4 linked regions of the Drosophila melanogaster genome follow. The protein of the gene in region 2 interacts with the protein of the main gene of each other region in a pairwise test. Each region holds a gene or a part of one and is shown on either strand. Other genes may lie near its edges. The genes, in order: per, cry, tim and ninaC.

What was found.
Region 1: the proteins of cry (region 2) and per interact in a two-hybrid assay, tested with the Drosophila melanogaster proteins (5 studies listed by BioGRID).
Region 3: the proteins of cry (region 2) and tim interact in a two-hybrid assay, tested with the Drosophila melanogaster proteins (5 studies listed by BioGRID).
Region 4: the proteins of cry (region 2) and ninaC interact in a two-hybrid assay, tested with the Drosophila melanogaster proteins (one study listed by BioGRID).

The regions. Positions count from the first base shown.
Region 1 is NC_004354.4:2,682,793-2,691,920, reverse strand, and holds the start of per (period), read right to left. Parts: upstream 6,342-9,128; 5' UTR 6,021-6,341; intron 3,725-6,020; 5' UTR 3,677-3,724; coding exon 3,582-3,676; intron 3,522-3,581; coding exon 2,482-3,521; intron 2,418-2,481; coding exon 2,061-2,417; intron 1,999-2,060; coding exon 284-1,998; intron 214-283; coding exon 1-213. Other genes in the region: CG2652 (uncharacterized protein), read left to right, coding at 9,097-9,128. UniProt on the Drosophila melanogaster protein: Essential for biological clock functions. Determines the period length of circadian and ultradian rhythms; an increase in PER dosage leads to shortened circadian rhythms and a decrease leads to lengthened circadian rhythms.
Region 2 is NT_033777.3:19,209,740-19,216,341, reverse strand, and holds cry (cryptochrome), read right to left. Parts: upstream 4,189-6,602; 5' UTR 4,002-4,188; coding exon 3,860-4,001; intron 3,784-3,859; exon of another isoform or gene 3,615-3,783; intron 2,859-3,614; coding exon 2,515-2,858; intron 2,359-2,514; coding exon 1,439-2,358; intron 1,203-1,438; coding exon 980-1,202; 3' UTR 900-979; downstream 1-899. UniProt on the Drosophila melanogaster protein: Blue light-dependent regulator that is the input of the circadian feedback loop. Has no photolyase activity for cyclobutane pyrimidine dimers or 6-4 photoproducts.
Region 3 is NT_033779.5:3,503,735-3,509,864, forward strand, and holds the start of tim (timeless), read right to left. Parts: upstream 3,485-6,130; 5' UTR 3,462-3,484; exon of another isoform or gene 3,455-3,461; intron 3,023-3,454; 5' UTR 2,824-3,022; intron 845-2,823; 5' UTR 793-844; coding exon 627-792; intron 566-626; coding exon 1-565. Other genes in the region: CG31954 (uncharacterized protein), read right to left, coding at 5,438-5,993, 6,061-6,130. UniProt on the Drosophila melanogaster protein: Required for the production of circadian rhythms. The biological cycle depends on the rhythmic formation and nuclear localization of the TIM-PER complex. Light induces the degradation of TIM, which promotes elimination of PER.
Region 4 is NT_033779.5:7,375,763-7,384,893, reverse strand, and holds ninaC (neither inactivation nor afterpotential C), read right to left. Parts: upstream 7,193-9,131; 5' UTR 7,029-7,192; intron 6,510-7,028; 5' UTR 6,494-6,509; coding exon 6,206-6,493; intron 6,111-6,205; coding exon 5,247-6,110; intron 5,189-5,246; coding exon 4,251-5,188; intron 4,183-4,250; coding exon 3,890-4,182; intron 3,831-3,889; coding exon 3,559-3,830; intron 3,492-3,558; coding exon 3,205-3,491; intron 3,139-3,204; coding exon 2,989-3,138; intron 2,934-2,988; coding exon 2,836-2,933; intron 2,773-2,835; coding exon 2,719-2,772; coding exon of another isoform or gene 2,555-2,718; exon of another isoform or gene 2,137-2,554; coding exon 1,949-2,136; intron 1,884-1,948; coding exon 1,468-1,883; intron 1,416-1,467; coding exon 1,139-1,415; intron 1,088-1,138; coding exon 707-1,087; 3' UTR 550-706; downstream 1-549. Other genes in the region: CG5149 (uncharacterized protein), read left to right, coding at 1-7; Wnt10 (Wnt oncogene analog 10), read right to left, coding at 7,635-7,822, 9,075-9,131. UniProt on the Drosophila melanogaster protein: Required for photoreceptor cell function. The ninaC proteins combines putative serine/threonine-protein kinase and myosin activities. Essential for the expression and stability of the rtp protein in the photoreceptors.

The sequences.
Region 1 (9,128 bases), on a different chromosome or scaffold from region 2:
GCTGCAGGGCGGGTCGGAGTTGTAGTCGCCCATCACGGAGGGAATGGGCGAGGAGTCCGGCACCTCCTTCTTGCAGGGATCGGATACCGCTGCACTGGAGCCCGGCTCCGTCTTGACGGATGCGCTCTGCGAGGAGGGACGCTGCACCTGGGCAGGAGTGGTGACCGAGTGGAATGCACCCGGCACCTTCTTCGTCATGGACGCCGGCGTGGTCTATGGACGAGTATGGAGTTGGAGTTGGAGTTAAGACAGTTCGGTGAGGCACCACCGGCCACTGACTTACCGTGTACACCGACTTGTTGTACGCGGATTGGGAGCCCAACGGACGTTCGGGAATCTGGAGAGCGTTGGCCATTCCCGGAAAGGGCATCGGCTGGTACATCATGGCCGTGGCCGCGGCCGCCGCCGGGTGTGTGTAGAAAAGCGAAGGATGCGGGTACATCACGCCGGCCATGTACTGCAGCGGCATGGCCTGGGCGGCCGCGGCAGCCGCCTGCTGCGAGGTGGTGGGCATGTCCGTGCCACCCTTGTGCGGATGCTTGTGCATCCGGGGAGAGCGCGTGGGACTGGTGGGCGTCAAGGAGGCGGGGATGTAGTAGAAGGTCGGGAAGAGGCCGGCGGAGGAGAAGCTGCTCTGGGCCATGGCCGTGTGCGTGGAGTGAACGGGCGGTGTGATGCCCACCGAGAACGGTGGCCAGAGGTTTATGTTTTGCGTGCAGGTGGGATAGGACGAGGGTCCTGGCGTGGAACTGCCCACGGAGGAGGACGCTCCAGCCGCTGCTGCCGCTCCTGCTCCGCCTCCGCCTCCGGCTCCACCTGGTGTCCCCGTTCCCGAGGTCGTTGTGGCTCTGCCTTCTGGTGTGCCTGCTACGCCTGTTCCGGATCCTCCTCCGCCCGCCACACCGGCTCCTCCTGATCCCACACCGCCAGTGCCGACTGCTCCGCCCGCACTTCCTGCCGCTCCCTTGATCGCATCTGTTCCCAGGGTTAGCTGCTGCTTGGGCTTGTTGGCCTCTCCCTCCCAGGAATGGGAGCCTCCTCTTTTTATCCCGTGGCCTGGACCGCTGTACTCCAGCATCTTAAGGGTGTCATTGGCGGACTTCTTGCTCTTCTCACCCGTCCGTCCGCGCGACTCGCGGTGCTTCTTCAGCATGAACTTCTCCATCTCGTCGTTGTGCTTATTGAGCAGGGATTCGGTCAGCGTGACTGGCGGTATGGCGGCGCTTCCGCCTTTGGATGAGCTGGCGGTGCCGGTTCCGGTGCCGGAATTTGTTCCATTGCCTGTTCCAGTGCCTGTGCCTGTGCCTGTACCTGTTCCCGTTCCAGTTCCTGTCCCGGTTCCAGTTCCTGTCCCGGTTCCAGTTCCAGTTCCAGTACCTGTACCTGTACCAGTGCCCGTGCCACCAGTGCCGGCAATGCTCGTATTTGTCACACTGCTCATGTGTATGTTACTGGCGGTGGTGAAGTTGCCCGAGGAGCCACTGCCCCCGCTGCCCTCGTGGACGGGACTCATCGGACCACTGGCGCCACTGACACACGTGCCGCGCGGCTCCGGCGGCTCCGTTTTGGGCGGATCGAGCTCCGCCGGCGCCGTGACCGGCTTGCTGTTGAAAAAACGCAGCAGGTTCTCGTTATAGTTTAGCTGGTTGTAGCTGGGCGGCGTCTCGGTGGAACTCTTACTGTCATAGTAGTCGTGGTGCGGCGAAATCTCGCCGAGCATCACGCTGTCCCGCTCCGAGACGGTCAACTCGTTCTCGTGCGGCAGCTCCAGCTTGAGATCCGCCCGGGACACCTCGTCCATGAGCGTTTCCATGAAGCTGGCCAGCGCCTGGCAGCGGCGGGAAACCTCCTGCTTGACCGTGTCCGACGGACGGGACACCGTCTCCGCCAGGCGCTTCACGATATCCTCCTTGATTCGCGTGTTCCGGCTCTGTGCCTCCTCCGATATCTTCAGCTTACATGTGGGCGCCGCCTCGAAGACGTTGCACTGCTTGGGTCCTGGAAGGTGAAATGACCTGTTTAGAGGATCATTGGATCACTGGGTCGGCACGCGAACTCACCCTGAAAGACGCGATGGTGTCCGACGACAAATTCCAGCTTGCGGGACCATGGATTGACGAAGCTGGTCCATTCGGTCTCCAGAAGGACGTAGCAACCGTTCTGGATGAGGAAGCGGTATGGCTTGCTGCAGAAGGAGGCGCCCGCCGTCTGACCCTTCTTCATTACCGTCTCGTAGGTCTCCTTCATGACTGAGAGGTCCTCGTGGTGGTAGAAGTCCATGATGCTGCGGCCAATCAGGTCCTGCGGCAGATAGCCCAGTGCACTGACCGCCGCGCTGTCCACGTGCGATATGATCCCGGTGGCCGTGTGGCGTATGGCGAACTTGGGGCTCTTCTGTGAGAGAATCTCGTCGGGAACTGGGGGGGGCAGAGATCGATGGTTAGATGGCTGGATGAAACCAAAACGGGCACAGATACTCACCCTTGTAGCTGCTCTTGATCGGAGTGGCGCAGATGACGAGCAGCATGTTGGTGCCATTGGAGACCATGTAGTTGTCCGGTCGCGCCTCCTCCGGAGCCTCCCTGAAGGTGAGCCCCAGGCGGAAGGGTTCGTAGCTGACGGGCCTGCCGATGACGCCGAATCCGCCGGACTTGAGTCCCCGGTAGCGACGCAGCATCACGCAGAAGGTGCTCTTGGCGTCCTTGGGCACGCTGCCCCTGGATTCCGCAATGGGTATGCCCGTGGTGATCTGACTGGCGAAGGTGGCGCGGTCCTTAAGGTGCACAAAATCGATGAAGGACCTGCCCAGCCACATGTCGCGCGGGTAGCCCAGGACATCGGTGATGCTGGGCGTCGTGTACAGGACGATGCCGTCGTGCATGGAGATGACGCAGCAGAAGCTGTCCTCCTTCACCCGCTCCCCGCGCTGCCCTGTGCCCGCCGCCGCTGCGCCCACCCCGGTCATGGACTCCAGCTTGCCCGGACCTGCCTCCCAGGTCTTGTCGAACTTGGCCAGCCCGCTGTCCAGACCGGCTGCGTGGCCCACTCCGCCGCAGCCGCCCATCGAGGGCGGGACAATGGTGACGGATAGCGGCGAGGGAATCGGAAAGCTCTGTGCCGCCTCCGACTTGGCCACGCCCTCGACTCGGTCCGCCTCCGACTCGGAGCCGGACTGATCCTCCTCCTCCTCCTGCTGCAGCTGCTCTATGGCCTGCGGCTCGCTGTGATCCTCGCCGTGCTGTTGATCCTGCAGCTCTCGGCAGATCTGCTGTTCTACGCACCCAGTGCCGCTGGGCCGCGGCTTCTCCTCGTCCCTGCCCTCTAGGCTCGTCGACGCCGAGATCAGGGTCTGCGCCTGCCCCGCCCCCTGGCCGGCGCCCTTGTTCTTCTTCTTCTTGCGCGACTTATCCTTGTTGCGCTTGATGATCATGTCGCTGCTGCTGGCCTGCGTCGAGGGCTTGCCCCCATAGCCACTGCTGCCGGAGGAGTGGCTGCCGCTCAGGCGGGATTTGGAGCTGCCACTGGAAAGGGGATGGATCGTTTAGACTACTCGCATGATTGAGCACATCAAATGGACTCACCTGCGCTGCGACTGGCTGTTGCTGCAGCTGTTCGAGTAGGCCGAGTCGGACACCTTGGTGTTGTGTGTGGACTCCGTGGACTCGCCGCCCTCCATGGTGCTTAGGTTCTCCAGCTTGCCCAGTTGGTTGACTAGTGCGAGATTCTGGAAAATCGTATGATGACCATTAGCACTTCAGTTATCCTTGATAGGACCTTGAATGGGGGTAACTAAATAACTAACTAACTGATTTCACTTCTATGATGAACCTATGTATCTATGTTTGTCCTTCCTTCGAGGAGATTCCGTGACTACTGAGTATCCGTTGAATGAATGACCAACCACTACAATGCGGATTCTATTTGCACCGGATTCATTCAGAGCAGCGCTGTTGCATCAACGTGAGTCGATTGCGTTGTGAGTAGTTTCACTTCGGCCGGGTGATGAAATGAATCACGAAATCTGTTGCGGCACCGGGCTGCGACGCGCAAACCCCCCCGATTCTCTAGAATCCAATTCAAATTCCGAATGTTGCTTCGTTACCGTCTTCACGTTGCTCGCCAATAGTATTGTGCCGCCCAGCTAACCACCAACGCTTTCTAGGATCTTCTAGGCCAAGCGAATGGATGATGGGGGGGAAACCAGGCGTTGCACGTGTTCCGACTGCCTGCCATTCATGTTCATGAATCATGGCTTGGATAACTTCTAGTCCTAATTGGCTGGAGCATTGTTGTGAAATTGTCACCTTGACTTGCACCTGCATGGTGGCCATTGATTGAATCGTATACTCTCTGCCCGGCCCAGACTCAGAACGATAGATAGAGAACAATGTCGCCCACACGGTGGTTGCCTGCAACGAGGCTTCACTGTGCTAATTAACAGCGCAGCGGGAGCGAGAGCGAGACGGCGCGACGCTGCATTCACGTGCAGTGCGATGTGCTTTTGCTCTCGCGTTGCCTCTGCCGCTCCGCCAACGGATGTCGTTATGCAGTCGCAATGCATCCCGGCTCCAGATTCGCAGATACGTACTTAGATACTTAGATACGTGTAGTGTGTAGTTCAGAACCATGTACCCTGTACCTCAGTAGAAGACACATTCTTTTCAGCAATTTTGCAATTACAAAAAAAGAACGCAGCGAAGAACTCATATTTCTCACAATGCACCACTATGTCGTAATCGGTGCATATAGCAAGCATTCAATTCGGCAAGGAGTTCGGTTTCAGCGATTGCATAAGACCCAGGTTCATTCTCTCCGATTTGGCTGAATCAACTAAACCCAAAAATACTACACAGACACACAGGCATTAGGGTGGACCCCATTCCAGGCTCTTCAGAGTTTCCATTAAAAGCAAAGATAACCAAATGGGCCAAGTAAACAAGCTGATAGTTGTTTCGACGGCCCAGAATTCAAGAAGAAAGAATTCCAAAGAAGGTGAAAAATTCCATTGGATAATACCATTTTTTTGCCCAACAAACTGGCTTCCAACCGACTGCTCAATCTGCCCAAATCCTTCAGTTTATACCCACCAAGGATTGTGTAACTCGCTGGTTAACCCAGTTCGCATCCCATATGTGGGTGAACTTTGACGCAGCAAAGCAAGAAGGCCAACTGGTCGAATCGAATCCGCCGCGATGCCTCTGGATTGCTGGATTACATTGGTCGTGCGTCATTCCGAGGATGTTAGATAATGCAGCACAGGAAGCGCGACAGACATGGATAACAGTCGCATAACCCGGGGGCAAGACATACTGGGAAAGACTGTGGGAAAATTCGGGGCACGAATGGGAACGTTGAGCTATTAATGGTGGTACTCTGTTTAGCTTGTGTAACGCGACTGCGACTGCGGCTATCCAAATCGTAGGGGTTTTAATAGACATTCCAAATTTGCCAGAAATTACTGCGCCCACGTGGCGTGTGTGCAGCAAATAAGCTGAAAATACCAAGGTGCAATGCCCAAAAGGGAACACGCTGCGTATGCGCAATATGCTCTGACCCAGATTGGATGCCGGGCATCGATTAGAGCTATGTAGCTACATATATGAATGAGTTCACTTCACGTAGGCGCAGTGTGCTGCAGTACTGCACTCCAGGTGACCGGAAGGCAAGCGGCTGCAGTGGTGCACCACGTTGCGTATGCGTATTCTGCGGCCAGAGTATGTTTGTTTGGCACTGCAAGGAAGGAAGTGGTGGGGCATTCCCGGAGCATTGTTCGGTAGGGTCAGGTATTTTGATGTGGGCTTTTGTTTACGCTTTGCTCGGTGTGCAACGTGCACTTATTAATAAACACTATATGTACATATGTGTAAGTGCGCCATTGGACGTTATGAACCGAGTTATTTATGTAAGCTGCCTGCCCAATGCGTTGTTTTGTATTGGCAATATGATAATGGTCTATCTAGCGCCTCTTGCTGAGATTTTTCTTTGCAGCTTTATTGCAACAACGTGACAATTGCACTTACACACTCGCTCTCGCTCTCACCCAGCTGCACTTTTTTGCGATTAGGCTGCGATTAGGCTGCTGCTGCCTTCTGTTTGGAATCTCACTTATGGTCTCACTTTTTGGCTGTGGCTATATGTCACTCAGCTCGATACACTTGACACTAACACTGGCACCAAAGAATAACGGTTTGTTTCTGGTCGAAATTAAAAAAAAAAAAACGAAGCTGTTTGTTTGCGTGATTCGACAGGTCGTTGTTGCGATTTATTTGGTATATGGCAATACTTTCTACTGTGCGACGAACGCGTTGTCGACCTTCTGGCTCTAAATTCGCACGAACACTAGTGCTCGCATCGCAAGCTCCGGTGTATAAGCCCCCGTGCACTCGCATTCCCAGAATTTTCTCACACTCACTCGCTGCTCTCCGCCGTCGCTGAGAATCGCTGGGAATCGCAGTCGCTCGGGAAATCGCTGGTCGGCTGAGATACTCGGACCCAAACATTAACCCTTGGGCGAAGCTTTTGCGCGAACAACAAAAGCAAGTAATTGGAATGCCAAAGACTCCCTTTTCCATAGCAAGAAACCCCATTTATAGATTGCTATAATGTTGGATATCTTTCTTTTTCATAGCTTCTATTGAATACTAGTTTCTTTTGGTTTTTATCTATGCTGTGGGATACGTTACATGGCACTGCCGATGCCAAGTGTCAATCCAAGCCCCACGCACCAACTGCAGGTTAAGGAAAGCTATGGAATCCCCTGCCTTTTTGGGGCTGCCTGGTGGGCGGCTGGCAGCACGTTTTCCGAGGGGTGTTTTCCGGGGAGCCGGCTGGGCGGCGGATTTGCTGGCCAAGTCACGCAGTTCGCCACGTGAGCGGCGGCTTTTCACTGCCTACGGCTTTCTCGGACGCTTTTTGCACTCGGACCCGTCCCTGCCCCACCATGAATTGTGCGAACTCGCACTGGCACTGGCATTTCGCAACGGCATTACTCACCCACCCACCTGGTCATCGTCCAAGTGCGGCCAGCAGTGCACCAGAGCGCCAGTCCGCAGTCAACGCAGTGCATCGGTCTAGCAGCTCGGCTCTCTAGCACGGATGAAAAGTTGAAAGTGGCGCCAAGCTTTTGGGGGCTTCTGTTTCCCGTTTGTCCCGTGGAAGCTCTACCTGGGCAGGTGTGCGCGGCGTGCGCTGAAACACGTACGGAGTGGGATGATAGCGACAGCTGATTTTCCCTGGCTTTTCCGCCTCCGCCCAGCTGGCTGTTGCGCGCTGTGGCCCACAGGTGGCGTTACACATACCTGCCAGCAGGGGATTCCCCGTCTTTCCACGAGGGGTTGATGAACTCCGAGCGGTCGAGTGGTTCGGTTCGATGCTGATACTACTGCTATGCAGTTACAAATGATTATTACTTGCAATTTCTGTGCATTGAATTTGGCTTTTAGTCTTCGCAATTGAAGGGTTAAAAGTTGAGGCATCTGATAAATAGGAAATGATTTTAGCTACCCCCTCATAAAAGCATATTTTTATGGACCCCACAACTTCTTTTTTTTTCGGAGCATTTTTTATTATCCTAATCCGATCGAAGTGCCCAAGGATGTCTTTATGCCTTATCAGCCGTCCCATCGGCCTGCGGTGGCTTTGAATAATTGAATTCTATTAATTGGCGGCTTTGCCGACGTCGAGTGGGTGTGAAAATCCATTTGACCCGGCACCCACTCCACACGCAGCTCCTTTGTGGCCACGTGTGTGGTGTTTGCCCAAGCTAGCCGGAGTTTGCTGGCATTTGCTGGGGCTCGCTCTTATCTATCGCGGCCACACACGTGCCACAAAGTCACAGACGCCTGCCCGAAAATGATAAAGTGCGTTCGAATTAGCCACCAAACTGCTGCTAATTTGATTTTGATGCTGCGACTGTTGACTTGCCGCACTTCGCCACTCCCCGTCGCGTTTTGATGTGCTGTGATTTCATTTGATTGCCGCTAATCGGATTCCGGGTGGTGATTTCGGGTGAGTGTCGGTCGGACTGTGAGCGGGATTAGAGCCGAGTTCCCAAGGCCCACCCTTTCAACGTCCAAGTGGCGTAGGTCCGAGGACCTGTGGACCCATGAATATGGATTGCGATTAGAGGATGGACGTAGCACATCAGGTGGCATTACTGGCACCACAATTCCGTCCCAGCGTTGAACTGTAAGCACAAACGGAGATACAAGCTCAAGTGAAATTACTTCAGCACTTGACTACTTTCTGATGAGATAGATGTCTGTAAAAAAATTATATCAATGTAATGAACAGTTTAAATTAATATCAGAAATATAGTGTCATATTCTCCAAACTAGGTTTCCTTGGGAAGTCTCGTTTAGAGCTGCTCGGTTGGCAACTTATGAAGGAATATAACAGATACGGGGCTCAGATCAGGTGGACTTGAAGCAGACCTTTAAACGAAGTCCTTGGCCTTGGAGCACCTACAGATTGCACTGAATGGTCTCGCTATCCTCAAAATGTCCACATTAGAATTCAGCTGCCCCGCTGAACTGAAGTAACGTCGCTGTGCCCGGAATATTCCCGGCCAAGTAAATGCCCGGGCCGCACCAACCCCAAATTCCTCTGACTTAGCACTTAACTCCGCCCTTCGGAGTCTGCGCATTGCGTACTCCCAAGTCCGCTAACTCTTCCCTAGTCCACCAACAAATTCTGCGTTAATTAATTAGAAAAAATCACAGTTTAAGGCGTGAAAAAATCGGAGATGGCCCGTTGTAGGACGACGAAGGCGTTGAAATTTCAACGCCTTTCGCGAAACTTTTGAAGAACCTTAATCCCAAGTTGGGATTAACATCTGCTTCGAGGGGGAAAACAAGGTAGCAGACATGCAACGGTTATTAGGTAGTATGATAAAATCTATAAAAAATTATATGTACATTAGTTATTACTTTAGTTAAATGCATATCTAGTGGGCTTCTGTTTTTGCTGTCGCTCTCGATTTGAAAAAGCATCACACCAAGCAAACAAGTTAAAGTTGCCTTCAAATTTTCGTAGAAAAATTTTTAGTTAAACATAAATTGAAATTAGTTTTTTTTTTTTTTTTTTTTTTGAATCGTGATGAGCTACACAAATCTCCTGCGCCATCAGAA
Region 2 (6,602 bases):
AGAGTACTTAAAAAATATAATATTGATAAAAGTATAATGCGTTACGAGATATTCCATAAAGTATAAATTGCATCAAATTGTTATTTTCTGTGAGTTCTCGTTCCTTCCTTGTTCGTTTGTTGATTGAATTGGTTGGTTCCATTATTTATTCAGCTATCGTATATTACGCAATGTGTGTGTGTGTGAAATTTACATTTACCAGAAAAATAACTTTTTGCCAAGCAACGCTCTAAATGTTTACTCGAATTTACTTCAACTAATTCGCAGGATGTCGAATGTCTAAAACGAATGCTTACTTCCTACAAAGGACTATTGCGATTAAGTCGCTGGTAGGGGAATGAGCGAAAAGCTCGGCGTGGTCGAGTTTAGATTTTCTCAAACTTTATTTGTAGCAAACTGTCGAGGGACTCAAACTTCAACAATAACTCCTTTTAGGTCCCATCAACCCCTACCAATATCTCATTCGAAAGGCACACATCTAGAAGGAACACCAAAATTTAGGCATTAAAATAAAATATACACAACAATTTAGACAAATTATAAAGATAGAATCTCTCATTAAACGAAAGGCAAACGAAGCCAGGATCAATAGATCGACATAAAATAAATTTCAATATTTGAAATACTTCGCGTTCAATTTTTCTCGTATGAAAGACCCAATTAAAAGCAAAAACTATTTAATTAATGCTGTTAATTAACGTATAATTTGACAACGTAATACAGATGATAATAATAATTATATATATATACACCATAAACGATTTTTAAAATAAGCTGAATAAAATTGATATATGAGTAACACGTTATAAGCTGTTAAAAGTAAAACGAAACCAAATAAAACGGATACAAATTGTATTGTAGTACTTATTTTAATTGAAGAAAATAAAGCATTATTAATTATATATAATATTTCACTGGTAATAGTTTCTTTATTGTGAAATCGAATTAAAATTGGATTGGTCATCCCACTTGTACTCCTTCAAACCACCACGTCGGCCAGCCAGAAGAACTGACGCACTTCCTCCTCGTTGGATGGTCGGCAATGCGGCGGCGGGGTGATCAGCGAATTTCGGAGAGACTTCATGGCCAGCATGTTTCGCTTTACGGCCATGGACAAATCAATGATCCGCTCCGGATAATGGACTCCGATCAGGCACTCGTACTGCTCCTGCTGCTCGGCAGACATTCGCCAGGGCTCGTGACTGAAAATATAAAATGGGATTTATAATTTAAAAAATATAACAAAAGCACGAATAAACGAATTAAAAATATATATAGTTCAAATGGTTGCTTGAGATTGTTGAACACTTTAACGAATCATAAGTAAAGACGACAAAGGAGTCATCATATATTGCGTATACGACAAGTATACCATCAGTATTTTTATTATATCTAAGTACTTAAATTGTTATATGGAATTTTCATTATATAAACTTACACAAATTCCTTGGGCACATTCATCAACTCCGGGACGTACTGCTTGATGTAGGTGCCATCCGGATCAAGTCGCTTGGCCAATGCCACCGGGCAGGTGACCAGGGAGGAGTCCAGCAGCCTTTCAAACGCCGAGCTGGATACCCACATCCAGTTGCCAGCGCAGACCGACCAATCCGCATCCAGCAGATACTTCAGAAAGTGCTGCAGTCCATGCTCCCAGCTCTGCCACAAACCGCCGCGCGTGAGAAAGGTGGCCACGGTGTTGCGCAGCGTATGGTGGAGCCATCCCTCGGCCAGGAGTTGTCGCATGGCGCCGTCGATGAGCGGGAATCCCGTTTGGCCTAAACGCCAGCTCTGCAGGAGATTTTCGTTCGGCTTAGCCCACGGGATGCTCAGGCAGATGTCATTGCCCTCCATGCGATCGTAGTTTGGATTGTTCACCGACATGGTGTAGAAGTACTCTCGCCAGATCAACTGTCCCGTGATGTGCGCGCCGCCAGTCATCTGAACGCCCCGCACACAGGCGCGCAACTGGACATTCTTGAAGAGATCGTGGACGCTCCAGTAGAAGCGACGTACCGAAAGGCAACCAAAGCGCAGATGGGCGCTCATCGATTTTGGCGAGTCGTGGATATTGGGCAGTGCCTGGTTGGGCAGATAAAATCCACGCTCAAACGCATGCTGCTCCACTTTAAGACGCTCATCCAACAGAAGTAAGGCCTGTGTTTCTCCGCCGCGCCAGTTAATCTTGGCCAGGAAGCCCATGTTGTCTCCATACACATTGAAGTGCTCCGGCGTGGGCAGCTGCTCGAACAACTTAAGACTTCGGCAGAACTCGGGGTCCAGCTCGACAAAGGTGGCGTCTTCTAGTCGAGCATCGGCGGTGGGACGCGGTGGAAGCCCAATAATTTGCACCGTGTGCTAAAACATAATAAAATAAACGAAAATATAATTTGATGTAAATAATTAGTATCTTTCAGTGACTATATAATTTTCAGATAGTTATATTTTTACATTTATTTTAAAGATATATTCTCAAAAGAATATTATAACTAGAGAACTGAGCTTTAAACTCACCAGGAACATTTGGTAGGTCAGCGGTGGAATGCCACCATTGGTCTCAATCACCAATTGCGGATCCCAAAGCGTGTGTGATACCTTCTCGACAAAGTCGATATTCAGCTCCCGACATAGAGAACGGATGCTTTCATCGCGCTCATTCCAAATTGGCTCGCAGTCCTGCTCTATGCAAATCCTGTGCAGACGCACTTGCTCATGTAGCCGGCGGAAGATATAAGCCGGTTCGCCCTCGAAGACCAGGAGGCGTCCACGTCCATCAGTTGCCGCCTGTAGCTGATCATCGATGTCCTGCAACGAGTCCAGGAGGAAACGCATCCGATTGTAACCCACATTCTTGGTACCTGTTAAGGAAGAGCATTTAACGGTTTTATAAGATTTATAAATTTAAAAAAAATTATGCATTTTCAAAGTTTTTTCGTGCACAATTTTCGCAAAACTAGGAATTCAAAACAAGTTTGTGTGTTTAAGTGCCACCTTTTAGATAAATTTTCAGCTTTTGTGCAAACAAATGGTTCAGTTTAGCCCATTTTCCATTGTAATATTTGTTTTCACGCTTTTACCCACAAAACGACGCTTATCGGTCAAGTGATGGGTTCTATAGGTATCCCCGTTTCTCGCCGACTTTTTCCGTGAGCGAGCTGTTTAAACACAAGCATTATACTGCTATTCTGGTTTGCACTCAATGTCTCTACCCATTTTGCATTGTCTTTCTATATCTCTCTCCCAGCGATTCGACGGAAAATTCTCAAAACCGCCAGCCACAAATGGCATTAGGGCGCATCGTTTGTTTTGCTCTACCATGCAAAAGTGCATTAGGTTTTCCCTCCATTTTCCGCCCCTGCAGCTCTCGCCCTCTTTCCATTTTCACAAGCAGCGAAAACGCTGAATTCGCAGCGGTCGCGGAAAGAGGTGGTATGTGATAACCGATGCAAGTCGCAAAAAATGATATTAGCTCATACGGAGAATGAGCGTGTAATAGCAATCAAACTAAAAGTATTTATTTTAACCCTCTGTTGCCAACGGTTTTTTATTTTAATTTTGTTGAATTTTCAAACTCTTTCCAAAAATCTATTTTTACACAAACTTCTGATGATTTTGTATGAGCAAATATATATAGATATAATATTTTATCTTTGATGTTTTGCTATCTATTAATTATTTTAAGATTATCTTAATATTTTAAATATATCTCCATGAGATATCCATATCTCATATAAAAGTTTTGAAGTAATAACTTAGGAAAGTGCAAGGTAAGTTCAAGGTTACCTGTAATCAATTTAATTTGGATACCTACATGTATGTGTGCGCAACGAAATAAAATTTTCGAAAACTCAGTTCTTACCTGCACTCTCTCCATCGAATATGAAAACGGGAATTAGGGCTATACCCTGATCCTTATCGGCGAGGGCGGCCAATAGAGCGGGATTATCATGGAGGCGCAATCCATGGCGAAACCAAATCACATTCGCCCCTCGCGTGGCCATCAGTGAGGAGTTCCCTGCTTTTGGGCTTCAAAAATCTCCCGAATCCCAGTTTTGATCGGGAAGAACAGTTTTCCAGCTGATGAAAAGATTTTCTTTTTTCCGCACTCACGATTCGCTCGCGCCGGCAACTAATTGACGAATGAGAATGTGAATGCGAAATTTGAGTGCTGAGAACGTTTCTACAACTGCAGCTCAACGTTCCCCGTGTTCGGCGTTATAAGCTAAAATGAATCGCATAAGTACGGTGAGTGCAACAGAGATGGCGAGAAAGAGACCTGTGGGAACCGCACACTGAAAAAAAGTACTTACTTCCATATATTATATATATTATAACCAAAGTTTAAGTTGGGCAAAACCAAACGCAGGCTAAAACTAAGAGTGTTCTATAACATCCAAATATCGTTTTTGTTTTTGTTATTGTTTATATTTTGAATTTCTATGCATATTTAGTATTAAAACTCGTTATAATGGCTGCGAGAAAAGATTCGAGAGTTGATAAGGATTTTGCGGACATGCATATTTTCTCCCAGTGTAGAAGCGTGTACTGTGAATCGGTAACTAGAAACAGCCCGTTCAAGTGCGTCAATACAAAGCTGTCGATCTGTATGTGTGTGTGTGTGTGTGTGCGAAGGGGCGACTGTGTGCTTGGGTGCTTGTGTGAGCATAAGTGTGGCACTCTGCCCACGGTTGCCTGCACTTCTAGCTCTGCGCCGAGAACGAGCCGAGCCCCCACCCCGAATCGACCCCCAGCTGACTGTCCCACCCCTTCTTCCCTTCGCTCTCACAGTGGGGCACTGCGTTCTGAGCACACAGAACCAGAAACTGAACCCAACTGTTGCCGCTTATGACGTGACGAGCTTTTGCAAGCACTCAACTCTGCAGTGGGATCGAGATGGGCTGTTTGCATGCTTATACTTATCACTTTGAAGTAATAATTACCTATTTGGGTATATTTACTTGGTTGTTTATTATGAGTAAATACATTTAAGTTTAAATAGTTATAAGATTTATTGATTATTTGATTTGTGCTGTGCAGACATTCATTTGTAAAGCAAGTAAGTATCGCCCTAACTACAAAAGTAGGTTAGCCCATTCCTGGTTAGTTCTTCTACAAATTATACTGGAAATAGCTATTTTGGTAAGAAAAAGATGAAGATGGAAGATGAGCAATTCTAGATACCAGTATTCTCCTATCAATATTTCGAAAAACCAAATACACTTGAACATATAATAGAGTAGCTAATATTCGGTAGTGACGCACTTTTTGGTTATGGTCCTGCATTGGCATAGTTAGTTAACCCGAGCATGGGCCACAGCTCCTTTGCCAACTTTGAGTGAGCTTTTCCCCCATAAAAAAAAATCCCCGCACGTCGAATACCCAACATCGCTGGACAGTCCCAACGAGCCTTATTGTGAGTAAACTACGCACTTGCATCACAAAAACTTTAGCATTGCACATTGCATGTTGCCTAGACAACGACAACGACACCGACAGCAGCAGCAGCAGCAGCAGCAGCAGTAAAAACAAGAACAAGGACCAAATGGAGGCAACGTGCGTAACGGAATGTCAACTGCAAAGCTCGCCGATGCACGTGTCCTGGCAACAACAACAACGACAGGCGCTGCTTGCAACAATCGGGCGAGGAATTCAAATGATGACGACGACGATGATGAGCCTTCTGTGGCTGGACTATGGCCAAAACCAGGATTATAAGGGGGCGGGGGAAAGGAACAGTGGCAGAGGCAGAGTGAAACAGGGTCAAATGAACAATGAAGTGAAGTCGAAAGGTTTTGGACAAAAGAATTTTTCTTGCCTTGTTAGCTTTTATGAAACTAATTTACGTTCCTCGGTTGGGATTGAAATTTCGGAAATTTAAAGATTGAGAATAGCAAATACAATTACTTATACTCAAAGAACTCATATTGCTCATACGCCAGGTGGGTTTCTATTCACAATTTTCACTTCATTGACATGGACATTTTCGTATAGTTGGCATTTAATTTACGTTCAGGTCGAACTTTTCCAATAGAACTTGTCCCTTGCAAAGGAATACCCACTTACCCATACGCCAGGTGGTACCAATTTTTACAAAGTTCTCACCATTTCCTCGAAATTGAATTTTTTATGATTACGGACAGCCTTTCATAGTTTGTTCTGTGAAAAATTACTGAACATTGGCTGATAAAATGTCATGTAGAAAATTAAATATGATTTCTCATAAACCAGATGGGACCACTCGTTGAAAGGGCTTTTACTTTTTCAATCGCCGCTGCTTTACCATAGTTTCCATTGTGCTTGGAAAAGATCCTGTATCCTGCGAATTGCATTTGTAAATTGTGATGGAAAACTCCCTAATACTCCTGTGTCTGGTGGGACCATGCCCTCAAAGGGATTTCCTTTATTTAGTGCAGCTGCTTTCCCAAGGTTTCCTTCTCGGAAAGCAAAATGTTCAGCCATTGTCGGGTTATCCCATGCCATAATTTATCTTTCAGCCAGCAAGTTCCCAGTTCAGGTGCACTGGATCTTCCGTTGAACTGCCGGGCACAGGCTGCTAGTTTCATTCTTTCGCTCAACACGTCACCAAGGACTTGAGGGGCATC
Region 3 (6,130 bases), on a different chromosome or scaffold from region 2:
CCCCAGAAGGCTCTCTGCGGACAGGTCATCAGATACAGGAGTAACTTGTCGATGCTCTGGATGAAGAGATTCCACAAGATCGTGTTCTGCATGGAGATGCCATGCGGCATCGACTGCATCATGGGCATCACGCAATGGGCATGCGTCTCTGGAATGTGCAGGATATTTCTCAGCAGCAGCAGACAGTTGTTGATTTGATCGCATTTGTGCGGCGACAGCTTAGGGTCCGACTCCAGTATGTGTTTCATGTACTCCACCACGCTCTTGGTGCTCCTGGCCTCGGTAAATGCTTCCTTGCTGGTGTACAGCAGCTTGTTCAGCTCGAAGATGGTGTGGCGACCCACATCCGTGCGGTACATCACGTCCACGGAGAAGAGGCACTCCACCGGCACCGTCAGATTGACGAGTATCCGGATGACCGACTCCAGGACCGCATCATCCTTGGCATTCTCCAGCAGCGGTATCAGGTCTGACCTCACATTCTGGCCAAATCCAATGGCCCGTCGAAAGGTGCGCAGTGTTTGGTCCTCATAGGTGAGCTTGTAGTTGATCTCCTCCAGAATGGCTGGGGATTGAAAATAAGTTAAATACCTAATTAATGTAGTAGTCCTATATTGATTACTCACCCAATGCATTCGGGTTGACCACATAGGTATCGCCCTCCAAGCAACCCAAGGAGGAGAACGCGCTGTACAACTGCGGAGTTGCTAGTAACCAGTCCATAACCGATTTCACTTTATCAAAGTTCTGATTATTCCAGATGTGATTGTGGAGCTGCCTAACTCTGCTCATTGTCGACTGCGAACATTGAGGTACTTCTTAGCCATTTGCGCGGTATCTGTAACTATAAGTAAACAAAAATGTATATTTAATTGTTATTAAAACTTAAATATTCTTAACGTGGTACCAGAGGTGAATTTAAATAATATTACACATTTAAACTGAGATGTGAAATGGTGAAAAATTTATGGCATTTTTGTAAGCTGTAACAGTCACCTTAAAATATGTTAAGGTCACTAACCCATCGTCTTCCAGGGCATTACGCAACCACAAATGATTCCCATAAATATTTGCACTCGCAAACAAAATCGCCACCCATGTGACCATCAAGGGCGCAGTCCATGCAATGTGCTGCAATTGCAGCCGCTCGGGGATGAAACCCGAATCAACTCCCATTCCACATCACCTCACACACGTGTCCGCACAGCACGTCTCCCATTTACCACCCGTTGCGAGTCGAATCAAGGAAACTGCCTACCAGACGAGCCCCGAAAGTTCCCAGAAGCCACACTTGCCAGTCCGGAAAGTGAAAAAGTGGGCTGGATTGGCAAACACCACCACCCCCCCCCCCCACACAGGGGGGAGCCCAACCTTCAGCCATCACGTAACGAGGCAAATCCTCAACAGGCGACTGCGGCACCCGGTGGCCGCATGTGACTCACTTGCAGACATCCGGGCTGATTGTGTAAACAACACAGTTGGAGGACAAAGCCACTGGGTTCGCAAACGGACTACGGACTACGGGACTCCGGAGGAACAAAGCCTGCAGTCGGAAAAGCCGACCACCCGTAGCGATATTTATAGGACATGAATCGGGATGCAGGATTTGGCATTTGTGCGGCTTCCAGCCTGCTGACTTTGAATGTTTCGTGCTATATTTGGCCATTAAAGCGAATGCAGTTTAGTTGCATTGGTTTTCGTTGCCCTCTTTTGGGCGAACACGTTAAATGGCACGCTAAATGGCCAAGAGCGGAAAATAAACAGCGCAAACAGTTGAGAAAATTTTAAAATTACAAAGCCATTTATGGCCTAGCTGATTTACTATAAAATTGTTTTAAAATGTAATAATGCTCAATAGGAAATTATATCTAAGAAGGGAGATTTAATTGTGTGTAAATTGAGGGACAATAAATTATGGACATTTTATAGAAAATATTAAAAAATATAATTAATAAGAAAACAGTGATATCTAAGAGAAAAAAAATAAAAATACTTTTCTTTTAAATTTTACTTAGATATTTCTACTGAAACTAATATCGAATTTTGTTGGTCGAGCATAATTTTTGCACCATCCGAAATCATAGATCATCTGAGCATCTTTGTATCTGTGAAACGTTTCTAGCAACCCCAATACCATTTCCGCTGACTGGTTATGAAATCAAAGACCCAACTTACATAAAACGCAAGGCGAGAACTACAAAATGATATGCGCATTGAAATTTCGAGCTGAGTATCTACTTTTCTTGGAGAGTGAAAACAATTTTCATTCTTTCGCAAAGGGGAAATTCATTGAAGCGAGGTTGAATTTGCATTTGAAACGGAAAGCAAAGATAGATCACGAATAAATATTTAAGATTTGAATTTGCAATGCAAATACATCTGAGGGTCGTTAAAATCCTAGCTAAACGAGCAGAAACCACTGAACATCTGTGTGCCAGGATGAAATCTGTCAGTTTCAGGACGATTCCCGTACTTATTTCGCTATCCTGTTTCTGACAGGAATTCCGTGGAAGGCCAAGCCTCCTTTTTTGACAGTTCACTGCGTGCTTTTTACATAAGAATTGTAACGGAGAATTGTTGTGCTTCGTAAATTGCCCCTTTAACTTGTTTTCATTTTCCCAGTATTATGTGATTTCGTTTTCATGTGGAAATGGGTTTTCTTTCTGTGCAAGCTTTAATTGCTTGAATATGTCGCCGCTTAAAGCTACTTTTTAGAAAGCTTTGTTAAAGTGTAATTTTGTCAGGGGTCAACTGATAACGAACTGTGTTAGGTCAGGTCTAAGCTATGTAATGTTAAATATACTAGTGGTTTATATTTCTTACCAATTATTTAAATTTTTTCTATCGCAGACAATTTTACTGTTTTAGTTTTAGCCGAATTGCAATCAACAATTAAAGCTGATTGTTTATGTTTCTAAGCAATTGAGCTTTTCTGAGCACTTTTTGGGTTTCTTTGCAGAATAGATCGTGTTATAGTTTCAGTGCTGTTATATACACTGATGAAATTATTTTTGTTTTATATCTGAAAGTAGTTTTAAGAATATTTGTTAGGGTAAATTCAGTTTTTTTGGTAATATTAAGATTTTAACCACTCATGAAAAATTTGTTAAGGATTTGCAATTTTATTTAACACTTTGTGAACTTTGCTTTGTTAACACTGCACAAAAAATTCTTTATACTCGTTGTTGGCTTATGTAAAATGCAACTTCAATAGCAATTAATTTGCACTTTTTTCGATTGCAATCTAGGCTAAACACTGAGAGAAAGACCAGTGAGTCATGTAAGCACTCTCTTTAAGATTATTGATATGTGAATTAATAAATATTATTGCATGAATTCACAAAAGTATTCAAGATTATTTTAGCAAAATATCTTTATTAAATTTTCTTTATTTAAGAGATATTTATTTTCGAAACTTCTATTTTGTTGATAAACTTCGAACCGCTCAACGAACCGCTTACTTGGAACGCACAATGCTGAATGCGATCTGAGTTACGGCTAGCTCACCGAAGTCAGATACAAAATGCATCTCACAGATACACACACTGACCGAAACACCCACTCACACAGGGCCAACGTGCCGCTGCCGGCGTTTGTGCGAACGAAAGACGCTAGCCGAAAGCTCTCGCCGCGCTGCTCCGTCCCGCTCGCACTCAATGCCGGACGGCCGGGGAAATCGGCTCACGTGTAATCACAACGTGCCGCACGTTTATTTGCCAACCGCCACTACGATGTTCGATAACATGAATAACCAGCGCCGGAAAATACGGAGAACAGTCTGGGAACAACAGCAATAGTCAGAACGTTTCTGTGCACTCAAAAAAAAAAAGTGTGTCACTTTACCAAATGGTATCTTCAATAACGAGACTTCACTTTACTTTAATACTTTACTTTACTTTATTTAATAAATGTATATATTTAGTGTGCAAAATAATTAATATAAATGATTTCAAAACTACGTTTTTTTTTGATTATACAACACTCACGTTTATATGTATATAATATATTCAATGACATATTTTGTTACATACATAAATATTATATTATTTTGTCTGCTGCTGTACTGTATTCCTCACAGACGTTTCACATTAAAACCAATATTTTTTTCAGTGTAAAGTTAAACGTTTTTGACGCCGCCTTCGAACGACTCTGCCGTAGGCTTCGTCAGGGTGACATTGTTCGGCTCTGAGTGCCTCAGATGATCCGTTGAATAATCCTTTTGGGAACGGAATCAACAGTTGGTTGCAGGCGCGGGCACACGCGGCGTATACGCACCGGGCTCATTGAATGCGTATACTGTGGGGAGCGTATATATTTACTTTGAGTGTTTCCACGGTGGCGCGAGCTGCAGCACGTCGGCACCGAATCGCGGTGGTAAATCGACTGGAAACGGAGGTTTAGGAAAATACTTTTGCTCGGACTGGGGCGATAGAAATAAATAACTGACACTCTCATTTTACGAAGTCACTCACTCACAATAGGCGATTTGACGTCAAAATGTTATTCAACCCAGACTATCAAATTCTATTATTTCAATAAGAAGATTAGTTGTCACAAAAAAAAGAAACAAATTAATAATGCTGTTAATTAGATGGTTAGACTTTTGTAAAAGGTGACAATCTAACTATATTTTTAATATAAAGGAGCAGATTTTGATTGAATACATTTCAACTATGAATTAATTTTTTTATTTTTTGCAAATAATATTTAAGTTATATATCCATTGCTGCAAAGTGAATGGAGAAAAACGAAAGTGCCAATGTAAGAACATAGCATTGATTAGACCACTTCAGCCGATCCGCCCAAAGTTTCCACTCAACGTAAGTTGTGCGATCACTTCGCCAATGCCAAGGCTATGCAAGTACATACATCTGAATTATGCAACGCCTGATGTTAATTTCTGTAAGCTAATTTATCACTAAGCAAACACAACAATGGCGGAGTCCGTTCAGCGGCAAAGTAAGCCACGCCAATGCACAAAAACTTGTCCCTACGTATACGTAATGCAAGTAATTGCGTATACGCCGCATGTAACACATGAACGGTGGACAGTCACGATGAAAGTTGGCTGATAAGCCTCCCAATCAAAAGCAAAACAATTAGATGCGATGCCCACTCCATCCCTCACAAACGGCCAAGGACTCGTGCAGCCCGACACATCCTCTTAACGTGGCCAAGTAGACTCATTTCCAACAACGCGACATGCGCCGGCGAAGTGTGCGATATCCTGGAGGGTCGCGTGTTTGAAATGCTGGCTGCGTGCTGGCAACGTGTGCGAATCCTTCTATTGAAGCGGCGCATTATGAAATGGTTCCATCGGATTGGTTGGCATCGTTTGATAATTTTTTATTGCGGGTATTTGAAATACATCTAGTCAAAGCAATCGCATAGGAAGAAATTGATTTCAAACTATGTTAACTGTGCAGGATATACGAATCTAGACACCACTGTGCTCCTTGATCCAATCCCGTGCGAAACTTACTCTTGAGTAGACACCCGGATAGTCGGGCTTAGCGCAACCGTAGCCCCAGCTAACCACGCCCACCAGCTCGCCCGATTCACTGACCATCGGACCGCCGGAATCGCCTTGGCACGCATCCTTTCCGCCTTCCAGAAATCCAGCACAGATCATTCGCTCGGTGACGCCGCCGTACTGTTTGTACTTCTCGCTGCAAAGCTCCTGATTGACCAGAGGCACCTCCACCTGACGCAGCCACTCGCGGGACTCCAGCAGGTTCTGGGTGTTGCCCCAACCACTCACGAAGCAAGCTTCCCCGTCCATGTATTTCATCTGAGACTCGGGCAGCTTGACCGCCTTTTTGGTCTCGTCAAACTTGATGGGATGAGCTAGCTGAAGCAGCGAGAAATCGTAGTCCACATTGGTGTAGTTGAACTGGGCGTGCTGCACGATCTTCTGCACCCGCAGAAGTTGGCCACTGCGAGCAAATTCGCTGGTTCCGAGTCGCACTTTCAGGCGATCTGCCGTTTTACCACTACGAAATCAGGAGGAATCATTTTTGGCATACTCTCTAGAGAAGATTCCTTGAGCGGCTTACTTACTATGTGCAATGGGCGGCAGTCAATATCCACTCCTCGGATATAATAGAACCGCCGCAAATATGGGACGAAG
Region 4 (9,131 bases), on a different chromosome or scaffold from region 2:
TGATTGATATTATGTGAAACTATTTAAGGAAAAAGTTTTGTTTTATCATCGAGAATTTGTGAGACCATGCCCGATATGGGTGTGCAGTTAATGATTCAATTCAGTTTCCTTAGCTTTTTTGCAATCCCTATCGAACACACAAAAAAAGTCCTGCGAACAAAAGAGTATTTGTTCAATCCATTCCTATAAACGTTTTTGTTTAGGTATTAATGTTTATATATACAATGTATAATGGATATAGTTTATGAAATACTGAGAGTATTGTTGTTGCGTTTTAGATCTTAAAGTGAGAAAAGTAAATCATTTAAATGATGTAACAAAGAAGCAAGCATAATAAGCAATGTTAATTCGTCGAATTTTTCCCATTTTTATCCTACGTCAATAAAATGCAAATTAATTGCTGAATTTATATCAATGTCTTTAAAGTTAAATGTTTGAGTATGCCAAGGTAGCATTTACCTACAAATAACCTAAATAATTAAGTGGTTTATAGAGATAGAAAAATGAAATGCGGTAAGAAAAAAGTGAAAATTTAAATAACGATTTATCCCAAGACATTTTATTTATTCCATTGTGTGAAACGTTTTTGAGAAAGTGATGAAGAAAACTTCAATCATTATTTTGGAATTTTAGGTGGGTTTTAGCTAAATTGTCTTATGGTTTGCATAACAATTAATTTTAATATTTTTACTCTTAATCACTAGTTTTAGATATCGACGGCATAGCCTGAAAGAGTGATTCCAGGTGCAATCTCCTCTTCTACATAGGATCCTGCCTCCTCGAAGGATCTAGCATTGCTATCTTCGAAGCTGCGACCCACGCTGGCTGGAGATTGTCTCAAGGTCGGAGCCCTCTGCTGCTGGCCAAACTTCCTAGACACACCATAGTTTCCCGATGATGAATTATAGCCCTCATCGTCTTGGTACCGGCGACCTGTCGAGCGTAGCTTGGGCGGCTGGAACGTGTGTTGGTCACCACTGTCCGATCCGCGGCGATTGTTAAAGTCATAGGTGTTGGTCTCGGATCCCCTCGGATAGTTAGTCTTGCGCAGCATAGCCTTGAAGTTGAATGGTGGATCCTCAGAGTTCTGGAAAGAAAATATCTGAAGAATTTCCTTAGGAAATTGACATACACTTACATCACCCTCGTTGCGAGCCATGTTCTGAAGTTCTCTAACTGGATCCGACGGAGGATACGAGGATCTTTGCTGATAGTTGCGTTGCTGCTGGTTCGGATTATTGCGATAATAGTTGGATGAGGGCATTGGTGGAGGAGGAGGTGGAGGCGCCGCATAGCCCTTCAAGGAGTTGCGCCTGGATCCGGATCGATGTACGCCCCAGTTCTGGTTGTTATAGTTGCTGTTATAGCTGTTGTAGGCATTGTTATAGGCATTCATGTTCATCTGCATTTGATTTCTGAAAAAAAGTGTTAGAAACTTAAGTTCAACCTTTGAGTATCTTTGCTAACCTCCTCAGCTGTTGGGGATCTCGGAAGTAGCCCTGATTGTAGATATTGTCGCTCTCGCCCATGCGATCCCAGTTGGTCTGGCAAGCCTGCTCCTTCTTATAGGCATTGTAGGTCAGGGCACAAGAAGTCATCGAAGGATTGCGTTGCAGAGGGCTGTCCCAAGGCTCATCGTCCTCCATGTGCTGCGTTAGTAGCTGATTGGGGAAGGCTTGGCGGGAAATGGAATTGGCCGGGTCCACCATATACTGGGTGTCATAGAAGGGTATCTGATCCAGGCGGAATGGCATCTTTTTTATGGGCACTGGCAGTGGTCCTAGCTGCGAGGAGTTCACTTCGCGCATATTGATCCTCTCGAAGGGCACAGCCCGAGTACATTTATTCAAGCCAGCCACCATTCGTTGGTTGTAGATGTGGACCTGGTACATAATATAATATATATATATATATATATTGGATTTGAAGATAAGAGATTTGAACTCACCTGCTGTGAGAGATTGACAAAGTCCTGGAAGCGAGCCGCGCGGTAGTGCAGGAGGACCTGGAAGATAGACTTCTCGCGCCATTTCTTGGCAAACGGACGGATAAAGTCGGCGGTGTTCTCGTTTAGTTGGCCGGACTTCTCGTTGACCAGCGGAGGGAGGCGGACGCGGTCGCGGAATCCCCTGAAGGCTGTGGGAAAATGGAAACGGAGGAAGGCCGTTAGAGTAACCCATTTGAAAAGCGGTCGCGGCGGTGGACGGTGGTGGTGAATGAGAGGGAAGTCACCTTAATTTAATTAAATTTTCATTTCTTTTCTACGCAGCACTTATAATTCATCTCTTTTCGCAGGGGCCGTCGATGTTAAGTGTTATGTCTCAGACAGCTATAAGCCGATTGGTTGCATCAGATGGAGAACACAACCGCCCAGCGGGATGGGGTGGGATGGTATCCACATTGGACACCACTAAGCGGCTTAAGTGGTTTGCCGAGGCCCTAGACTAGATGATAGCTGGTTGTTTGCGTTTTCTACATTTTATTGGTAGTCGTATTACGATTAGTATCGATCGATATAGTGATATAGTGTGTATAAATGGTATATAGTAGGGGCCTATTCCTCGGCGGAGGCCTGCTCGATTTTGGCTATTCGCACCGCTGCCAGAGCCTCATCCATTCTGGCCTCGAGGAACATCTCCTCCGCCTCCGAGGGCGTCTCGCTTATGTCGATGTGCTCCTCGTCGTACTCTCTTAGCCTATCCACCTGCGTTTTTTTACCTTTTTGTATTTTGGACGCGGCCACATCATGATGCTCCGGTCCCTTTTTGCCCACTAATAGGGAATTTAAAATTAGATTTCATACCATATACTGTATAAGTATTATTTATATCTTACATTTGAAAACTTTGCCGCCCTTAACTCGTTTCCGTGCTAGCAAAGCTCGCATCATGGACTGCACTTTGATGACCTTCTTCACCTGCAGCTCATACAATCTGAAAGCAATTGATAGTACTTGCTTTTCTCAATGCGTATGAATTGATAGCTCACCTGGCTAAGAACTCATCGTTATAGTAGCGCAAAAACACCTTGGTCTTGCCCAAGGCCCAGCCTTCCATCTTGAGGCGCAAGAATAATAGACGACAGTTATCCTTGGTCATTTCCACGGGCTCATCAAAGTCAAAGGCAAGGAATTGGTATCTAATACGAATATTTTAAATATTTAGAAATCTTTAAATGGAAACTGGAATGGAATCGATTACCCACCGCCTTAGGAACTCGTCGAATGGCAGACGCGAGCTGAATCCCTTCTGGCGAGCAATAACAGTGTCCAGAACTCCCAAGGCCTTCATCTGTTGCTGGACGACATCCGAGTGGAAGGATCTGGGCTTGTACTCCAGATCAGCGCGAATGCAGCGAACGAAGTGCACGCCGAGATTTGCATTCTGGCTTAGCATTTTGAGCAGGGTCAGGCAGGTGAAGCGGAAGTTGGCCGCCAGGGTACGTAGATTGTTCACTTGGGAGATGCATCCGGCACTTAGGGTATTCAAGGCCTGAAATGCATAGTTTACAAAAATATACCAAATTTAGGTTAGCTAATAAAAACTGTGACAGACTTACATATGACTTCCGTTCAGATTCATCCTTATGCTGCACTGCCTCGAATGGCATGGTGAGATTGCCAGCCTTGGTCAGTTGATTGGTGAACATGAGCATGATGCTCTCATCCAGCGAGGAGCGGAAGGTCTCGATCATTTCCGGCGGCACAAAGTCCCGGTTGATGTCGGTGAAGGCGCGCGTATCATAGATGATGCGGCCCGTGTAATGAGCCACGGATATTTCAGTGGCAGTGTGCTTCTTCACAAACTGGCTGTGCTTCTCCGAAACGCGATCTGTAGATGGAAAGTGGTTAAATCACATATCCAAAGTGGTGCCAGAATTGGTTGTATACCCATAATCAAATCCTGATCTTGACAGGAGCGTGAGGCATCGTCAATGATGTAGAACAGGCCATCCGGTTTGGTTAGCAGATTATCCAGAGCTGTCTTGTTGTCATAGAAATTCAAGTTGATGGTGTCAATGTCTTCAGCTTCCATTTCCAGCATTTCGCTGATAAAAATACGTTGATTGTAGTGATATTGCATTTGCTCGTTTAGAGTATTGATCATTAGTTGCTCCAGACCATTTCGATTAAAGCACTCAAATCCAAACATGTCGTGAATAATGATGGCATTTGTGTCTCCGCTTAAAAAGTTATTTAAGCCACATTGTTAAACTTATGAATTTGTAACTTTTTTTTTAATATTACTTACAACACAGCCCGTGGGAAGGACATGTTCATGTTAATCCTGTTGATGATAAAGTCCACCAATCGAGAGTAGAGCGTGCTGGCCACCGCATCGCGTGCATCCCTAGCTTCTTCAGTGGTGTACTGTCGCCTCTCGGCGATCCCGCCCTTGACCATAATGAAGTTGGTCAGAGACCACATGAACTTTTTCTCATCCACACGGAGGAGCTCGGCGATCCGGGACACAATGTCCGTGTTCTCCACTTCCGCATACTTTCCGTTCTGCCGGAAACGGATGTTGCCAATGTTCAAAATGGCAGCCAAAACTTTGCGAACGGTCTCCAATTGCTTGTGATTGAAATCAATGTCCCGCAGGATGTTCTCGAACTCCCTGTACCTCTCCACATTGCCCTCGGGATCATCACGACGATACTTGAGTTTCGATGGCGGAACCTCTGGCGGAACTCGCAGATAACGATAATTGCGATCAGCCTTCAGATTGTACTCCTTAAGCTGATTTTGCTGATTAATAAAGTCGTAGAAGTAGTAGAAGATGTGGAAGTTGTGCTGGGTTCCGTCCGTAGTGGCCACTCGTAGTTTCTCCAGCATATACATATTAAAAACGGCCCCACTCATTTTGCCGGTTTTTCCAAAGGTCAAGCAATATTGTAGGACACATCTTGTGGAGTCGTTGTTTACCGGAGTTCCTGCATTCACCAACATCAGGATGGCCTTGATGGAGCTCTCCACGCGCCCGGTGGCCCCACGATTTCCATCACCCAAGTAGCACAGATGCTTGATTAGCAGCCGGGCATTTGTGGACTTGCCCGAGTAGCTCTCTCCGGAGAGCACGATGTGTTGCGGCTCCTTATGATGCAGCATATCCTGGTAGGCGATATCGGCCACCGAGAAAATATGCGGCTGGTTTTCCGAACGCGACTTGAAGCGATACTTGGCATGGAACTAGAGAAAGGATAAATATAACATATTTAAGTATACATATTAGATGTTTTCAACTTACCTCCTGCGGAAATTCCTGCTTGATTTCATTGGAATTCAAGGATAAAAGGATATCGCCAATGAAACTGTACGATTCCCCCATCAAAATGCGATGACGCAGTGACTCGATTATGTTTTCATCCACGGGATTTTCCAAGGCAGCCAAGTCCTCCGGATACATCTTTTCCGGCTTCTCATCGAACCTCTTCACATAGCCGCGGTCCACGAACAATTCCGGCTCCTTGTACAAAGTCTTTACATCCCTAGAGAGTTCCAACATTTCTGCGATGTCCGATCGCATCTCGTCCTCGTTTTCGATGAGCTCCGTGAGGAATGGATGCTCCACCATCTCAACCATCATGGGCCGATTTTCGGCATTTTTCTCCAAACTCTCGGATATAAAATCATTGATCTGCTGCGACCAATTAGTGGGTCGCATTAAGGTCGGCGGTGGATTGCGAATGATCTGGAACATGGCCCTAGTGGGATGCATGTCAGCGAACGGTGGCTTTCCATCGGCCAACTCAATGGTAGTGATTCCCAAGGCCCAGACATCGGCACGAACGGTGATGTCCGGTTCGCGGGATTCCATGGCGGACACCACTTCGGGAGCCATCCAGCAGGGAGATCCAATGCAGGTGCCCCTCTTGCCCAGAGTGGAATCCACCTGACGGGATAAACCGAAATCGCACAGCTTGACCCGTCCATTTTTGGTCAACAATATGTTATCTCCCCGAATGTCCCGATGCAGGACATGATTACGGTTCAGCTCGATGGCAGCACGGCAAGTCTCCCGGATAATGTAGGCGATGTGCTCCTCTCGCATTCGACGATCCAGTTTCAAAAGCTTGTTAACCATGTCCACTGCTGTTCCCCCAGCGCAGTACTGAAATATTCAAATGGTTTATATAAATTACAAAAAATTGGATTTAAATTTTTGGAAAAAATTTAATAAAATATTAACAAAATGTTTTGACTCACCTCCATGACAAACCAGATCTCATCAGGTCCGTTTGGCTTCGACAGCTTGTAGACGCCATAGAACTCGGGAAGATTGGGATGGTCGCAGTAGTCCCGCAGAGTGCGATACTCCTCCTCGATGGAAACCTGGTGCTCCTCATCGTAGTGCTGAATCTTCAGGGCAACGATCCGATCATTGTCGAGCTCCTTGGCCCGAAAAACCTTGGCATTGACGCCTTGGGCTATCTCCTCGTAGATCTCGAATTTATCCGTAGGATCCGGCAATTGCGCGTACGGTAAATACATCATGACTTAGATGCTTATTCTGAATATTCGAAGAACATGTGGGTTAAACTTGGGAATTGGGTCTATCATAAAATGGGCTTCAAAGGTTTTCTTTTTCAATTTTCCCTCATGCAAATCGCATTATATTTGGGTTCATTGTTGCAAAACACTTAAGAATGGGCATTCTAGAGGTTTCATTGTAATCTTTTGCTTCTAATAACAATTTGCTTTTTCTTTAAAGGTGAAAGTTAAGTTACTTTGGTTTACTTAACGTAAGGATATTTTGGAATGTTTGCTTTGCAAGCACGAAAGATTTCAAGGACCTTTAAACAAATAAGATGCAATTTTGAAATGTAAAATTATAATAAAACCATTTTCTATAAAACACTTAAATAATTCATGTGAAAACGAAAAAGTTAAATGTACGATTTATCCTTGGTAATTAATCCTTCCTAGGTTTGTATTTTGAATCAGCAACTTTGGATAAAGGGATTCTAGGGGGTTATTTGTATTATATCCACTTCACAGGGCTTCAAACACTTAATCCTTCAGGACACACCTTCGCTGCCGCAGATTGGCACACTTATCCTGCAGCTGTGTATTTTTGGTTGCAAGGATGTACTTGTGTGGAACTTCGAACCGACCGCACGCATGCAGCACGTACCGCTGCCGTTAGCCAACTAAATGATGGGCCAATGCAATCGGAGGCTTTTCACTGGCAAGGAAGGAAGCCATTCAATGGGCAGTACCTGGGTGCACACCTTGGACAACTATTTAGCTGGCTAATTCAATTAGCGGCGGCGACATTCACGTGCAAGTGAAAAAAGCGGCGACACAGATGGCCAAAATGCCGAGGTGAAAGGGAAATTGGCAATGCGAGTGAAAGTCAGCTGATTGACAGACTAATTATGCATCTTATTGTTCGTATTTACAAAATATATTTATACGTATTCCAAATGGCTGGAGATTGCTAAACTAGGCATTGCATTCACACACGTTGTTTATTGATGTTTGCCCTATTGCGTACTTTATGTTTTTTTTTCTGTAATACTGATTTCTTTGTGTGTTAAGTTCTGTGAGAATGAAGAAAAGTCTTTTCTTATGCATGTGGCTGAGGCTCCATCGCTCCATCACTTCATCGTCCTTCGTCTTGCGTCCATTGTCCTTAATTGCATATGCTAATCCATTCCTCTACGTGGCACTCCTCGCACTCCACATTACAGCACCATTGGAATTTACAGTGACACCGCTCCGCCCTCCGCTGGATGACCTGGCTGTGGCCACGGCCACAGCAGAGGGAGGTGCATCCGTCGCTGGTCGTGGTGTTCCGATTGCACTTGCGTCCCACGGTGCCTGTGCGGAAATTGGCTCAGATTAGTCATGTTTATGTTTTTCTAAAGATATAATCATCAGAAAAGAAAATTATGTGGTATCTATTAAAATATAAAAATAACAAGTTAATAAAATTAGTGGTGTAAGATTTGCGTAATTAGCAAATGATTAAGTGTTCTCATCAAATGCAATCCATCGCCAAATGGCAGTTAATCCCGCCTACTGGCGGACAAGCAATTAAAAGACCATAAATAAACTATTAAACTAAAGCACAAACAAAGTATCATAATTGTTTGGCCGACGATAATTGCCAGCGTTAATTGCTATCATTTGAATAGACACGACACCGGACACGGACACATGAATCAAAACGCCCGATGGGCTGGCTGCTCCCCAGTTCACTGCTGTTGGAGCCTGAGTTGGAGCTTGAAGTGAAGCTGGAGTTACCGGGCTAAGCCGACGATTAATTATAAATTTGCGTCGTAATTAACACTTTTAAACTGCTGGCAGTTGGCGGGGCAGCAGCGACGCTTGATAATTTGCAAATGTGTCAACAGCAAAATGGCTAACGAAAATTGCAAGTGGCAGTTAGACGTCGATTTCGATGTGAACGTGCCGCAGTTTCGACCGATCCCCCAAGCCAGAGTACAAGCAAGGGGGGAGAAATGAGGGGATACAATTAACCCAAACTCATTTCCAAGCATAAAAAGTAACGATTTTCTTTTAGTATGTTTCGGCCAATTGTAGTTTAGATAACATATCAAAAACCTTTATTTTAAGAATGTCAAATAAGAACCCCCCTCAGATTTTCAGTCTCCGCCACTGCTTTATACAATCCAAACTGAGTTGAGCTGATCCGAACCAATCCAATCCGATCCGATCCAAACTGAGCTAAGCTAAGCTGAGCTGCTGTGCGCATGCGTCGCTGTCGCATTTTTTTCGTAAATTATGTGGCAGGTTTGGTAGCCCGTTTAAAACACAAACCAAAAAAAAAAAAAAGAAAAATACATTTTTGCTGCATTTGCGGTTGCTGGCGTTGTTCATTTGCATTTGAGATTTATTTATTAGAGCCAAATCAAATTTATCGCTCGCTTCGTATCGGTAAATCATTTTTAATTAGTTGCAACGCATTTTCTAACGACAAAATTGTAAATTAACTTATTAAGTAATGGTTATGTGGGTAGGACGTTAAACTGATAAGATGTTTAAGCTGAATATTGAGTGAGTATAATAATTGGAAAATGAAAATGTTATAGTACGAACATTAACTCACCCTGTATATCAGCTCCCAGATCGCGCTCACAAAAGTTGGGCGAGCGCTGATAGTAGA